2 linked regions of the Rhinolophus ferrumequinum genome follow. Each later gene encodes a partner of the first gene's protein in a complex. Links are inferred from orthologs where the notes say so. Each region holds a gene or a part of one and is shown on either strand. Other genes may lie near its edges.

Region 1 (7,607 bases):
TGGTGTCTGCAGGGTTAAAGGTCTGCTTGTTCGGCCGGAGACCTGAAGAAAAAGGTAGGTGAGGACCCTGAGGTATGCCTCTGGCCCTGGACTGAACCTAGCAGCAGGAAGACTAGTCTGAGTACCAGGGCTTGCAGGTCTGACGTCAGCAGCCTCTAGGCTCCCTGGCAGCCCAGAGGAAGAGCCAGAGGACCCTCACGACTAGCTCAGGATTCTCCATTTTCATTTTGCCCATTTCCTCCACCTGCTCCAGGGCTGGTCTTAAATACAAAAGGCTAACAGAATGGATGTAACCCTTTCCTGAGCAGTTCATTCTTACATCTTTCTTACCAAAACCACTATTCCTATAACACTGATCTTATCCTTCTTTCCTTCTCCACTTTGCCACTGATCCCTCCGTACCTCCACTCTCTGATTCTCGTTCCTCTTTGCTGATTTTCTCTAGAAGGTTTGAGCACATTTTATTCAAGCTCTGGATCTGCTTCTGTAACACACATAAATTGGTTCAGAGATTAGGGCAAGCAAGAAATTATGCGGGGAAGTTTTTTCCTTGTGCTCTTCTAGGGGCAACTTACGTGTAACAACTATACATCCCTACCAGACAGCAATGGTAATGCCTAGCTTCTCATGATGGGACTTGGGGAATGGGGGCAGCAGGACAGTGACTCAGTCCAACCTGAGCTGCATCAGCACCAATGCGGGCAGCATCTGTTGTCAGTTGCTTCTCTTGCTCTTCAACCTCAGGGTCAGGCTTGGTTCTCAGATGGTCGGGGACCACCTCATGGCTGAAAACAGGCACTCGTCCTTCAGTCTGCCGCTGTAAAACACAGATTTTATTGATCCTTCTATGCACTCCAAGAAGATTCAGTTTGGCCTGATATATAGTTCTTGCCACAGGCAAACAGTGCATTTTCAGGGAAAACACAGCTTAAGACTTACAATATTTAGCTTCCTAGGAGACCAAAATTCAGCCGACACTTTTTATTGCCACACGCTTTTTATTGCCACACACTACACCACATTCAGAACTTCCAGAATAACCAACCAACAATTGTGCTCTAGGTCATCAAAGAATTTAATTTCCCAAGTTGCACCCTTCTCCTCCTCTTACCATGAGATCTTCATCACGGTCTGGGGACAACACCAGTGGAATGATGACCTGGTTACGGAACAGTGGTGTCTTTTCATGCTTCAAGACCTTGTTCAGAGTGTTCAACTGTCCAGACAGCAAGGCAAAGCTGTCCAGGACAGAGGGCCTGGTGGTGGTAAGAAGATGTCAGAATGTTCCAAGTAGCCTCGAAGGGGGTCTTTCAGATTAGGAATACTTGGACTTACCCCAAAAAGACAGCCCATGGCTGGACTGGGTGGGAACCAGACTGGCTTACAGGGATTGTGGGGTTAGGAAAGAGGGACACGCTTTCAGTTTCTGACACAGATGGAGAAAAAAGGCAGCTCATTATTTGAATGGGGTGAGGAACAGTGGTAAAATAGGAACCATGGCTACACTGTTACCACTGAAAATTCAGAAACTGAGTAAAAGCCTCCTTTCTGGCCTGGAAATAGGATCCATACTTCCAGAATAGGTTGTACCTAAAAGACTCAGCAACATCTGTGGTAGAAGATCCAGTATGACCACTGTATGCCTACTGCAGTGGGAGGACACACTAAGGGAGGACCTCTTCCCAGAGAAGTCAAAGGGCGAGAATCAAAAGCTAGGAAGAACCTAGGTTGGGAAACTGGGCATTTCTCTACTTCCTTGCCATGGAGGCCCTAAGCTAAACTTCATTTGTTAAATGTTGGGAAAGCCAGCTCTTTCCAAATCAAAAGATGTTTGCAAATTGATAAATGGTTACATCATTGGAGATATCCCATCCACCAGGAGGCCTGCCCTGCCACCCATGGAGTCCTCCCCAGATTGCCCTGGCAACCCTTACCAGGTCAGCCGGTCATACTCGTTCTCCAGCTTGTAAATGAAACTCCCCAGTGAGTTCTTTAGATCGGCTACTTGACTCAGCAGTGCATCTAATGATGCCTCAAGCTGCTTCTCCTCTCTCTGCACCAATAGGAACACGTTGGTTATCCAAATGGGTGTAAATATGACACATACAGAAGAAGGCTGGAAAGCCAGGGTGACAGTGTGCAACACTAGTCAAGTGACATAAGATCTCACTGGCATACGAGAGCCACGTCGTTTTCTATCTTTGGTATTTGGGTTACAGAGAGCATCAACCTTTAGACCTTTCAACCCATTCACCTGACCTCAATTCCTCCTACCAACTGATTCTTTCTCTCATCACGTCCTAATCCATGCCTGTCTTTTCTCTGGATTAGGTACACTCTATTGTCTCTCGTTGAGAAATTTTCACCAGACCTAATACCTGGGTTTATTATCTTTTGTGTACCTCTGCAGCATATGTACTCCTCTGTCCTAGAACCTGCCTTGTGAGCCTGGCTGTTCTTGTCAATGGCACACAATCTCTGGGAAATCTACCTACACATGAAAGTTTCTCAGAATAGGGCCTTGCACCACACACACACACACACACTCTCTCTCTCTCTCTCTCTCTCTCTCACTCTTCATTTGCCCTCAGCATTTGATGTTTCAACCTCCTCCTTGCGAAATTAATCTGCACTCACTTTACCTCTGTGCCAGTATTCTTGTGCCCCTTTCACCAACTTAGTCAACCTATAAACACTTACTGACCAACTACCAGGCGTGAGAAACTAAATGACAAATGACAGACAAAAAAATGCATACGTCCTAAGCACTAAACAATTGTAAATGCTGGGGTGTCTGCAAAGCAATTCCTTTCCATCTATGGTCTCCAGTTTTACTTCATTTCTTCACCCTTGACTACAGGCACAGGCTGGGAAAGCGTCTTGCAAACACGCCAGCCAATGTGTAGGGCAGGAGCCTTGATCCTGGATTCTACCCACGGCCTCAGATTCATTAACTTGGCTTTTGGCCCCCGCGGCACCACATTTCCGTCACCCCTCGGGCTTCTCTCCAATTACAGATGCCCTCTTATGTCTGCATCCAGCAGCGTCCAACAGCCTAGGCCGGGTCCTGAGCCAACCGGCCACTTTCTTAAGCTATCTTCCTTGGGTTGAATCTCAACCTTCCCCAATTACAACCTGATCCTTCCCCACCCCCCAGCAAGTCAGTGCTGCCTTCTCCCTCTCGACTTAGCCGCAGTCTCTGTCTCCTGTCAGCGGGGCTCCCACCCCATCTCTCAGCTCCGCCTCTCCCTGTCCAGTAGGCCTCGTCCCTCACCCCACTTTCCCCATCCATCAGCCGCGGGCTCTGCCCCTTCCTCTCAGCCCCAACTGCATCTCTCTTCGGCTGGCTCACTCTCGGCCCCGTTACTCGAAGTTAGCTGGCGATCCATAGTCCCGACCGGGCTCTCACCTGCATAGCGGCAGCAGTAGCGGCCGCAACGACCTCCTCTACCGGTTTCCAAGTCGCGAGTCACTCTGACAGGGCTTCGTCCACCAATCAGAGAGCTCAGAACGCGGCCCGCCCGTTCACTTCCGGCTACTGCGGGGTGCGAGGTAGCCGGGTCAGGGGTCACGAGTGGAACATCTTCTCTGGCCTGGGCCGGCGCGGGAGGGCTGTGTGATGGCCTCGGAGCGCCCGGAGCCGGAGGTGAGGGGCGGGCGGGCGCAGCGCTGGTTCCCGAGATCCGAGGGGGAGGGTACGGCGGCCGCGCGCTGCCGTGGCCTCCTCCGGGTCTGGGGGCGACCTGGACGTGTCGTCTGGGCCGGGGACCGGCCCAGCTTCTAAGGCCCGACAATTGAACCTCCTCGTGGTCCGCAGTTTCTTCGGGGGGTTTGAGGAAAAACTCGTCGCTTTGTTTTGTTTACTGAAACTTCATCCACGTCGCCGACTCTAGGGCTGTCGGGTTCTTTGACCTAATAATAATGATATTAACAAAAACTGTATTTTGATTTTTCTGTTGCAGTTTCAGCGGGCAACAGGGCAATATATACTTGGCCGGTTTCTGCATTTCTCCAAACATTGTAATCCCATAAACAGCATGAATTAATTTAGTTCTAGCGCTCATGCTGTGGGAAAGCAGCTTTGGTTTCCTGAAAAATTTTTGACCCAGAGTGAAACCTCGTTCCAATATTGGCGCTGCTATTTAGCTATCTGTGCAACTTGGGCAAGCCTTGACTTCCCAGATCCTGTTTCCTTCTTCATAAAATACCTGTCTTACGGTGCGTTGTGAGGATCGCATGTGTTAAACCAGAAAACGCATGTGACTTATCCATCAGGTGCTAAGGACCACGCAAGGAATTTCATATACATTGTGTTATTCGTACTTGTGCAAGGAAGGTGGCAGTAGCATTTCTCATTTACAGATAAGGAAACTGAAAAGTGAAAGAGGTTAAGTACCTTACCTAAGTGCTACTCAGCTGGGGAGTAGCAGAGTTTTGGAGTTGGAAGTTCTGAGCATAATATCCCTGAGATTTGGAAGGAACAACATCACTAGGAGAGGTGTCCAGTATTACAAGAGAATATGTGAATAGGTGGGAAGGGTGAGGGATGTATATAATGACACAACTAGTAGTTATTACTTATTGAATGCTTACAGCGTACCAAGTACCATTCTAAGCACTTCACCAATACCAACTAATGTGCTCAACCCTATGAAGTAGGCACGATTATCATCCCCATTTTTCAGGTGTGGAAACTGAGGCACACAGAGATTCAGAGCAATAAAGATACAGCTAGTAAGTAGTAGAGCCAGGACTCCAAAACGGGGAGGCCTGGCTCCAGACCTTGTGTTCTTAACCATAATGTTTGTAATGTAAATAAGAAAGTAAGTGTGGGATAGTAAACCTCCAGTTCATTGGGATTTGATATGACGAGGCCCAAGATAAAGTAAGAAACTATGCCTTATTTAAAACAGGGATGGTAGAATAGCCCATGCATCAGAAATATCAGTATTGAAAAAAACCATTTGGAGTTATGTTTTGCTATGGATTCAAATGGGGGAAATACAGGTATTTTGCGGGGAAATAAAACATGCCTTATAGGCAGATAGTCTAAAACAGCACTACCCAATAGAAGTTGAATGTGTGCCATATATGTAAATTTTCTAGTAGCCACATTCAAAAAGATAAAAAGAAATAGGTGAAGATTTTAGTAATGCATTCATTTAACCCCGTATTTCCAAAATATTACAATTTCAACATGTAGTAAATATTTTAAAATTATAAGACATTTAACATTCTTTGTTTTGTATCATGTCTTTAAAATCCAGTAGGTATTTTATATTGCAGCACATCTTATTTTAGACAAGCACCATTTCAGTCCTCAGTGGCCCCATGTGGTAGGGGATACCGAATACATTGAACATTACAGATCTAAAGTAACTTGGAGCCAAGACACATGCACCTGGGGGTCTCATTCAGGTAAAAGCTAAGCATTTCTTAATTTTTTGATTTGTATTTCTGAAAATTTTATGGCACAAGGTGAAGGGAGTAAAGAGTTCTTCTGCCCCTGGGCAGAAAAGTGACTGACTTTTAGAGTTTGTTACAATCTCAAGAGAGAAAGATTGGGCATAGTCAGATTTAAGAAATCATTCATTCATCAAATACTTAAAATATTTATGAGTGCTACTATGGACTCAGAATTGTGCTAATTATCAGGGAGGATGCGGAGCAGTGTAAGACTGACACCTTCCCTATTTTAAGGGAGTAAACAAACATCAAGTTATGATAAGTGCTGCAAAGGAAAAATACAGAGTGAATGAGTGTTTAACAGGGGCTCTTAACCTACTTTATTAAGAAGTGGTGGAGGCAGGGTGGATCAGGAAGCTGCTAGAGAGGAATGACATTTAAGCCTGAAGAATGAGTAGAAGTTGGCTATGAGAAGAGGCAGAGTGAGTAGTGTAAATCCTGAGATGAGAAGGAGCTTAGACCCTTTAGAGAACTGAGAGGAAGCAGCTTCTAGTATGGTTGCAGTGTGGCAATGAGAATAGCTAACACAGAGTGCTTACCAAATAATCATCTAATAGTCCTCAAATCCGCATGAAATGGATACTGTTAGTATCTTTATTTCACAGATGAGGAAACTAAGGCACAGAGAGTTTAAGTAACTTCACTAATAAGCAGCAGAACCAGTGTTTGCTCCTAGGGACTATACTTCAGGGGTAATGGGTGAGAGAGGCTGGAGAAGAAGGTTCAGGTTGAGGCCGTGCTAGAGTTTCAAGACTTTGGCATATGAATAGTGGTAAGGAGGCTTAAGACAGTTCAAGATGGAGAAATCTACATTATTTCGTGGGTCTCTGTTAACAGAAAGCAGCACAAGGGTTGGAAAAGCCTCAAAACATAATTTATACCTTAACCACAAAGGGACAGGTTCAAAAAATAACAAATAAATGAGATGGGGATGTTTCCGTGAGGCTGGAATACATGGTATGCAGCACAGCACCTGATGATGTTTTATTCATCTTGTTATAACTGGTATGTATGTAGGCCTCAGTAAATGACCCAAAGAATGATAGGCTTCCTCTATGATTGTTCTGACTCTCCTGTTTAATTGCAATAACATCCTTTTGAAGTAGACATCTGCATGTTATCAATAAAGAAACTGAGGCCTGGAAAACTTACGTAACTTGTCCAAACTCACCTAGATAGCAAGTAGTAGAACCACATTTGATTCCAGTTCTCTTAACTCCAAACCCTTGCTCTCTCTTTGCCAGACTACAAGAGTCATGTAGCTCAGACTCGGGGATTAAAGATTAGGGACTTGAAGCTCCCTATGAGTGTGGATGCTGTGAGAATACAACTAATTCAGGGATTCTCAAACATTAAAGTGGCAGAATCACTTGGGGAGTTTGTTAAATGCAGAGTCCTGAGCCCTCTCAACGCTAATTCAGTTTGTCTGGGGTGGTGCCCGGGAATCTGCATTTTAATAAGCACCCCAGGTAATTCTGATGCAGCTGGTCCTTAGAGCACACTTTGAAAAATACCATTCTAGCCGGTTAAATTAATTCTGAAGTCTAATGGTTTTGATAAATTACATCTTGAATGTGAAGATAACTTAGAGATGATGATTTGAAAACGTGGTTGTTGTTGTTGAAGCATCAGGTATAAGGGGGAATGTTGTGAGCAAGCTCGAGTTAGGCAAATGTTCCTAGTATCAAGAGAGTAGATTCTATAAGAACTGATTGATGAACTAGACTTCAGCGTGGCCTTGGATAGCCAGTCCATCATTCAAAATAACCTTTGAGATAAGATGGAGAAATGGAAGATGTACAGTTGTATAATTAAGCAGCCTACTAGCTAATAACCTGAAGAAAGTTTTCTAATAGCACAGTGCTCGTCTATAGCATCCAGCTGGTTTATCCCCCTTTTCCTCCTCACTTAGCACACCCTCCCTGCGCAACTGTCAGCGTTACTTTCTCCTAAGACTCTAGCCTAGATCATGTTACTTGGTTCCACACTATCATAGAACCACATTCTTATCCTTTGATGTGCGTACTCAGTTTGTAATAATACAATAATGAGAGTGATTACTTGATTAATATTTTTCTCCATGGGTGAAAATTTTGTGAGAGCAGAGAATGCCAATTTTGGCTTTCCGTTGTATCTTTAGA
Region 2 (6,509 bases), on another chromosome or scaffold:
CTGAATCAGGCCCTTTATCTAAGTTTTTTTAGGCCGTTACGAGGGAGGTTAAAAGCTCTTCCTGAGCTTGTAGGCCTCAGTTGTCTTCAGCTCCAAGTAATTCTCATTCCAGGGTAGCACATTCTGGGGAGACTCGTTATGAACCCCTACAGTGTCCCTGTGGTTATGGAATGAAGATGCTATCTTATATAATAACGAACCTCCTTAAGCCACTCAACTAACTTGAATGTTGTCAATCAACAGAAATGACCAGTGGCACTAAAGAAACAATTCTATGTATGATCTACATTGCGAAAGGCTCTTCCGTCGTAATTATGCTGGCAGTGTTCTTTGATACAATTTGGAACCTGATTAAAAAGTTGAAAATCCCAGCTGTGTTCAGAAAAGTTTTGCTCTGAGTTACTCTACCGAAAGGAAAATCTAGGCCTTGGCAAAGGATCCTTAAGGCATGGTGGTATGAAGCAGAGGGCCATCTTTTTTTTTTTCTCCCACAATAGAATTTTACGGTAATTTGTTTAATTATGACCATTAATGTAAGAGCTGCCTCAATAATTTCATTTGGATAATAAAAAATGATAGTATAATGATGGTTTAAAGCTGGTTCAATCACAATCTTACAAGCTTATTTATCAAGAGTGAAACTAGAAGACTGTTAAAAATAGCTGGAAAGATAATGTGTTATAGTGGTTAATGTTTCTGTAACTGTTGGTAAGGCTTACATCTAAATCTGATGTATAATTCTTAATGCCATTGAAATAGCTCTTTTCTCAGCCATGCGGTATACGCTGGTACTATGAGTCTGGCAGAGACTGGCTATGGGTACCGCGTCTTGTCTTCAGCTGTGACTGCGCAATATCAGCAAGTGCACTTTGTATCTTTTCCAGAAGCATGTCCCCTCGATAAACAACATCCTCCAGACATGTAGCCACTTCGTGATTTTCTTCTTCTAGCTTATACAAGCTAGCAGCCTGTAAAGCAGCTGTAGATTCTTCACTGGGCAAGGAATCTATCAAAACATCGATGTCTTTTGCTGTTCGTGCAATCAGTGCTGCAAAAAGCTGGGCATAGTCTTCTGTGGGATTAGCTGGCTGATCTTTGTTAATTGTTGTCTGAATATTACTAAAAGAGGCAGGAGGACCACACTGGGGCAACACTCCAATTGCATTACAAAACTGGTCTGCAGGCGAGTTCACCGCGTCCTGCAGCTGTGTAAGCCGCCATGTCCCTGCAAGCAAATGAGAGAGAGTCATCTTTTTAGGGAATGTCAAGACATAGAACATTTTCTAAAACTGGGGGTTAGTTTACCTTTGTATATGAACAAGGTGCCGTGCTGTGTAGTAGCCTGGACTTGGTGGGAAATGTAAACTGTCCTTTGAATTTGAACCATACCAATGATTGCCACGCCTTATTATTGTTTTTAGAAGATAATAGCAAGTTTCCAACTTGATTCTCCACAGTGACTGAAGCTGGCTTTGGTGCTGATATTGGTATGGAGAAATTCTTCAACATCAAGTGCCGAGCTTCTGGTTTAGTGCCCAACGTCGTCGTGCTGGTGGCAACAGTGCGAGCTCTGAAGATGCACGGGGGCGGGCCAAGCGTAAGTCCCTTCTTCCTTCCTAGTGAAACCAATTTGAAAGTTAAGATAAAGCAGAATTGAGCGTTTGAAACATTTTGAAACCTGCTTAATAACTCTAGTTTTCTAGAATGTCTCCTTTTTTACAAGTTACCATCATAGGGCACTTAGAGTTTAGGTAAGTTCCAGTAAATATTAACACCCACAAAGTTACTTGTATGCAGTATTTTGGAAAGGAGCATAATGTAAACACTATTTAGTCCTAAGATTCCTATCTGAGGCTGATGTCAGCATTTTCTAGCCCCACGGTCATGGGAGGATAGAGCTCTGGTTGCTGAATGGAGCGCATACGGATCAGAATGATTCCTCTCGTGGGTGAGGTTGTTCAGTGTTTGTACAGACGGTTTTTTGGTTCACTGATGCTACATCTCATCAGATTTCTTCTAGAACTATGTTCCTTCTGTTTCTGTTTATTATGATTTCACTTTATAACTGTTATAGGACTGGATTATTTCTCAGAGAGCTTTGCTTGGAAAACATAAATTCTATTGTAACGTTTTTTAAAGACATTTGATATGAACCTGTATTGTTATATACAGAAATTACACATACCTGAAAGGAAATTTTTTTCATTTCCGCGGTAAAGGTGTAGTATTTTATTTTTTCATTTTTAGGTATCTTCAAAGGGAGAATATGAAATATTATACCACTTCATTGTTTTTGAAATAATATAATTTGGAGTGGCTTTAACATTTACACTATTGCTACGTTAGACAAACTGCCAAATCTGATTTCTGAATTGGTGTACTGTGTTCACAGAAGTCACGTAATTGATGATTGTTACAAGAGCAAAACAAATCCGAGGTTTGCCATCCTGAAACCCCATAATATGCACTGTTTAATCATCTTAGTGATTGTTTGTCCTAGGAGGAGCAGGCATTATTTCATACCATTTTACAGACGAGGAAGTTGAGGTATGGTGGGGTTAAGGAATGTGGGTAATGTCGCCAGGCCAGCAGAGAGCCCGATCTGAAGCCCAGGACTAGATCCAAATCTCCTACTCTGTTCACTGTGCAAAGCTGCTTACTAATGAAGGCTAAACCTTTTCTGAGTCCTGAATGCATGTGTAATACCAGACACTTGTGCACTTCATTTTAGCCTCAAGCTTCATCATTATTTCAAATAGAAGGTTGACTTAACATACATTATAGGCAATAAATCCCAAAGAATTCTGAATTTGCTCAAAACACCACCTGTTGCTGCAATCACTCCTTGACTTTAAACTTTGACTCTATATACCAACTTCCCATTTTCAAAACACTGTTTCTGCCCATATAAGACGCATTTGAAATTCTCCCTCCCTATTTTGCACCCTGAAAATTATAAAATCAAAGTGCTTTAATACTGGAAAGGGTTTAGAGATCGTCTAGCGTGGTTCAGTCTGCATAGAAAGAAGATTACTGAGGTGAAAAAGGATTCAGTGGCTTGCTTAGTATCCCACATTTACTTGCAGGACTAATCAGATGTAAAATCAAGGTCTCTTGGCTTCTAGTCCAATGCTTTTCCACACTGTGATCTCCATCCTGTAAAAATTCCCTACATGATTTATAATCCTCTTTCAGTTCATCTTAATGTATGTGCTCTGTTTTCCAGCACTTGCATTTTCTGCTCGCCTTAATCTTCCACTTAAAGTTGTGGTTCCATGCCAGTGATGATTGTAACAGGGCTCAAGCTTCACGGGCACAGATAAAGGTGGTGCATAATAAAAGGGGGGGTCAGAAAGCTGGGAGAAGCTTGGCTCCCTCTCCTGGCCTCCAGTAGTGCCTTCTGCGTCATACTGTTTCACGATTGTCTATGTGTATGTCTCCCTCCTCAACCGTGAATCCCTTGAGATTAAGGACTATGTCTTACTAATTTGTGTACCCCTGGTGCCTGGCGTAGTCTGTATCCAGGAAATGTTTTCCATAATTGAATAGTAAATGAGCTTTCATCTTCTTAATCCTGTATTCTACATTATCCATCTCAGTGTCATTTCTCCTTACTGGAATCAGCTCTGTGGTAATGTTTTTGATCCATTACAATTTCTACTTCCTTTTAATATCATTGCACAAATAGCCATGGCTGCACTTTTGTTTATTCAGCTTGGTGGGGTTTTTTTTCTTCCCATAATTTGTACAGTGGAAAATCCTGTGACCCTTGAACTTGCCCATTTTAGCCCCAATCGTTTCAAATTCAAATCCTGTCTTCCAAAGTGCTAGACCACTCCTGGTGAGATATAAGAACTAATAATCTGTTATACTTTTGGATCCATGTATTCATTTTTCAGTTCATTCTTTAAACCCATTTTATTAACAAGGAATCTCCAGAACTAACAGGATGTTACATAAAAGTATTTAGTACAAGGAATTGGCTCATGCAGTTATGGAGGCGACAAGTCCAAAATCTACAGAGAGGGCCAGCAGGCTGGAAACTCAGGAGAGCCGATCAGTATTCCAGTTCCAGACCCAGTCTGGAGGCAGTCTGCTAGAGAATTTTCTCCTGCACAGTCTCTGTGTTCTAGTCAGACATTTCAACTGATTCCACGCGGCCCACCCACATTATGGGGTGGCAATCTGCCTTACTCAGAATCCACCAATGTAAATGTTATTCTCAACAAACACCCTCACGGAAACACCCAAAATAATGTTCTACCAAATATCTGGGCACTCCCTGCCCCAAGTTGACACACATAATTAACCATCACTCCCATTATTACTGCTTTTTGGTTGTTGTATTGCAATGACTAGATCAAATTTCATTGTTCCTGTATTAATAACCAGTTGGCCTAACACTGTTTATTTACATAGTCCCTCCTTCTTTCTGATCTTCAAGCCTACATTGTCATAAATCAATTCTTCGTTCCTGTGTACGTCTTTTTCTGAGACCTCCCTTCTGTTCCTCACTATTTACATATAATTGTGTCTGTGCTACACCGATAGCCTGTAGGGCAAGCCCTCCCACGTTGTTCTCTGTTTCATGCTTGCCTGGCCTATCCCTGGCCCTTTTCACTTCCATGTGTATTTTAGAATTAGCTCATAAAGTCCCTTAAGGAATTTCTTAGGATTTTTGTTGAAATGGCATTAAATCAATCGATCAATTTGATGAGTTGACAGGTTTCTATCTAAGAACGTGGGATATCTCTTCATTGATGTAGGTCTTTGTAACTGTATTTTAATAAAGATTTCGTTTATTCCATAAAAGACTTCCACATCCTTTTAGAGATTTGTTCTTGTGTACTTTATATTTTTCAATGATTCTAACAGGATTCTTATATATTGCTTTTATATATACAGTGACCTCTCTAAATTCTTTTTTTAAATTAAGGTATAATTGACACATTACTTTCAGGTGTACAACATCAAGATTTGATATGATCACAATAAGTCTAGTTAAGATTTGTCACCATACGTAGTTACAAAACTTTTTTTTCTTTCTTATAATGAGGGCTTTTAAGGTCAACTTTCAAGTTTGCAGCACAGTATTATGAATCATACTTACCTTGCTGTGTATCCCCGTGGCTTAAAAATTCTCTTATTAATTGTACTAATTTAGCTATAGATACTTGGGAGAGTTCTATGTGGGCTATCATATCTGAAAATAAGAACAGTTCTGTTTCTTTCTTTCCAATCTTCGTATTTTTTTTCTTGTCACCTATCAGGTCTTCTTGGATGCACTGTAGTAGTAAATAGGAATGGTGATAGAGGGCATCCTGATTTGAAAGAAAATGTTTTTAACGGTTCATTACTAAGTATGATGTTTTCTATAGATTTTTAGTATGTTTTTTTATCAGGTTAAGGAAATTGCCTTCTAAACCTAGTTTGCCAAGTTTTTGTAATAAATAGGTGATGAATAAGTTTCTTCATCTATTGAGAGGCTATTGCTTTTCTCTTTAATCTAGTAATGCTGCAGGTTATTACTGAACTTTCAAATATGAAATGAACCTTACATCCCTTTAATAAATCTAATTTGGGGATGTATTATCTTTTTTATGAATGACTGAATTTTACTTATTGGTTTCCTAATGTTTTAAGTAAGATCTTTGCATCTGTATTTAAGAGTGAAATGTTAGCCACATAAAATAAATTACAAAGGATTCCTTCTTTTTTATATACTCTAGAAGGGATTTTGTAACATTAGAATAATATATTTATTGAAAGATGAGAAGAATTGACCTGTAACACTGTCTGAGCCTGTTATTTAATGGTATGGGGTAGATTTTAAACTACAAATTTCATTTTTTAATGAATATATTATAGAACTGTTTAGGTTTTCTACTTCTTATATGAGCCTATTGAAAGTTACACCCCTATGAATTTATGTTTTTAAATGTATGACTGTAAAGTTGGTCATAGTATTCTATGAATTCTGCTTATAGCATATGTGGTTATAATATTGTTTTATTCCTTTTTTAGAAAAATCTTTCCAGAATGTTGTCAATTTTGTTAGTCTTTTTAAGAACCAACTTTTGGTTTAGTTGATACTCTTTGCTTCTTAGTTTTGCATGTATGCAAGCTCAGCAATACTTCACATTCTTTTTTTAATGTAGTATTTTAGTCATTCTAGTTGAAAAGTTCACTCTGTGTTTCAGTCTGTACTACTGCTGGAAAAATCCATCTGAAAATACTTTATTATTATTATGTTTTTTGTACACTATCAAAAACTGTCACAAATACCTCTTTTGAAAGAATTTCTAATATTCTCAAGGCTCTTTTCCACTGAAAGAAAACTAAGTCATCATGTCCTCAGTGAATCAGAATGTTTTCTGGTGTTTCTCACCAAAACTGGTAGCAGAGAAAAAGAATGTGGGATTGTGACAAGGCACTAAATTGGGGTTTCCGAACCCTATTACATTCAAGTCCCCGTTATGCCTCTCCCTTGCTCTGTAACCTTGGGCAAG

Evidence for each region. Proteins that work in one complex are often made in the same cells at the same time.
Region 2: MED8 (region 1) and mediator of RNA polymerase II transcription subunit 21-like share a complex: the UniProt entries of both Homo sapiens proteins name them as parts of the mediator complex. The link is inferred for Rhinolophus ferrumequinum from reciprocal best matches to the Homo sapiens genes MED8 and MED21.

The regions. Positions count from the first base shown.
Region 1 is NC_046292.1:30,617,385-30,624,991, forward strand, and holds the start of MED8 (mediator of RNA polymerase II transcription subunit 8), read right to left. Parts: upstream 3,511-7,607; 5' UTR 3,416-3,510; coding exon 3,410-3,415; intron 2,054-3,409; coding exon 1,935-2,053; intron 1,257-1,934; coding exon 1,112-1,256; intron 818-1,111; coding exon 677-817; intron 485-676; coding exon 403-484; intron 43-402; coding exon 1-42. Other genes in the region: KICSTOR complex protein SZT2, read left to right, coding at 3,620-3,646. UniProt on the Homo sapiens protein: Component of the Mediator complex, a coactivator involved in the regulated transcription of nearly all RNA polymerase II-dependent genes.
Region 2 is NC_046286.1:94,043,099-94,049,607, forward strand, and holds mediator of RNA polymerase II transcription subunit 21-like, read right to left. Parts: upstream 1,251-6,509; coding exon 792-1,250; 3' UTR 743-791; downstream 1-742. Other genes in the region: MTHFD1L (monofunctional C1-tetrahydrofolate synthase, mitochondrial), read left to right, coding at 1,458-1,597. UniProt on the Homo sapiens protein: Component of the Mediator complex, a coactivator involved in the regulated transcription of nearly all RNA polymerase II-dependent genes.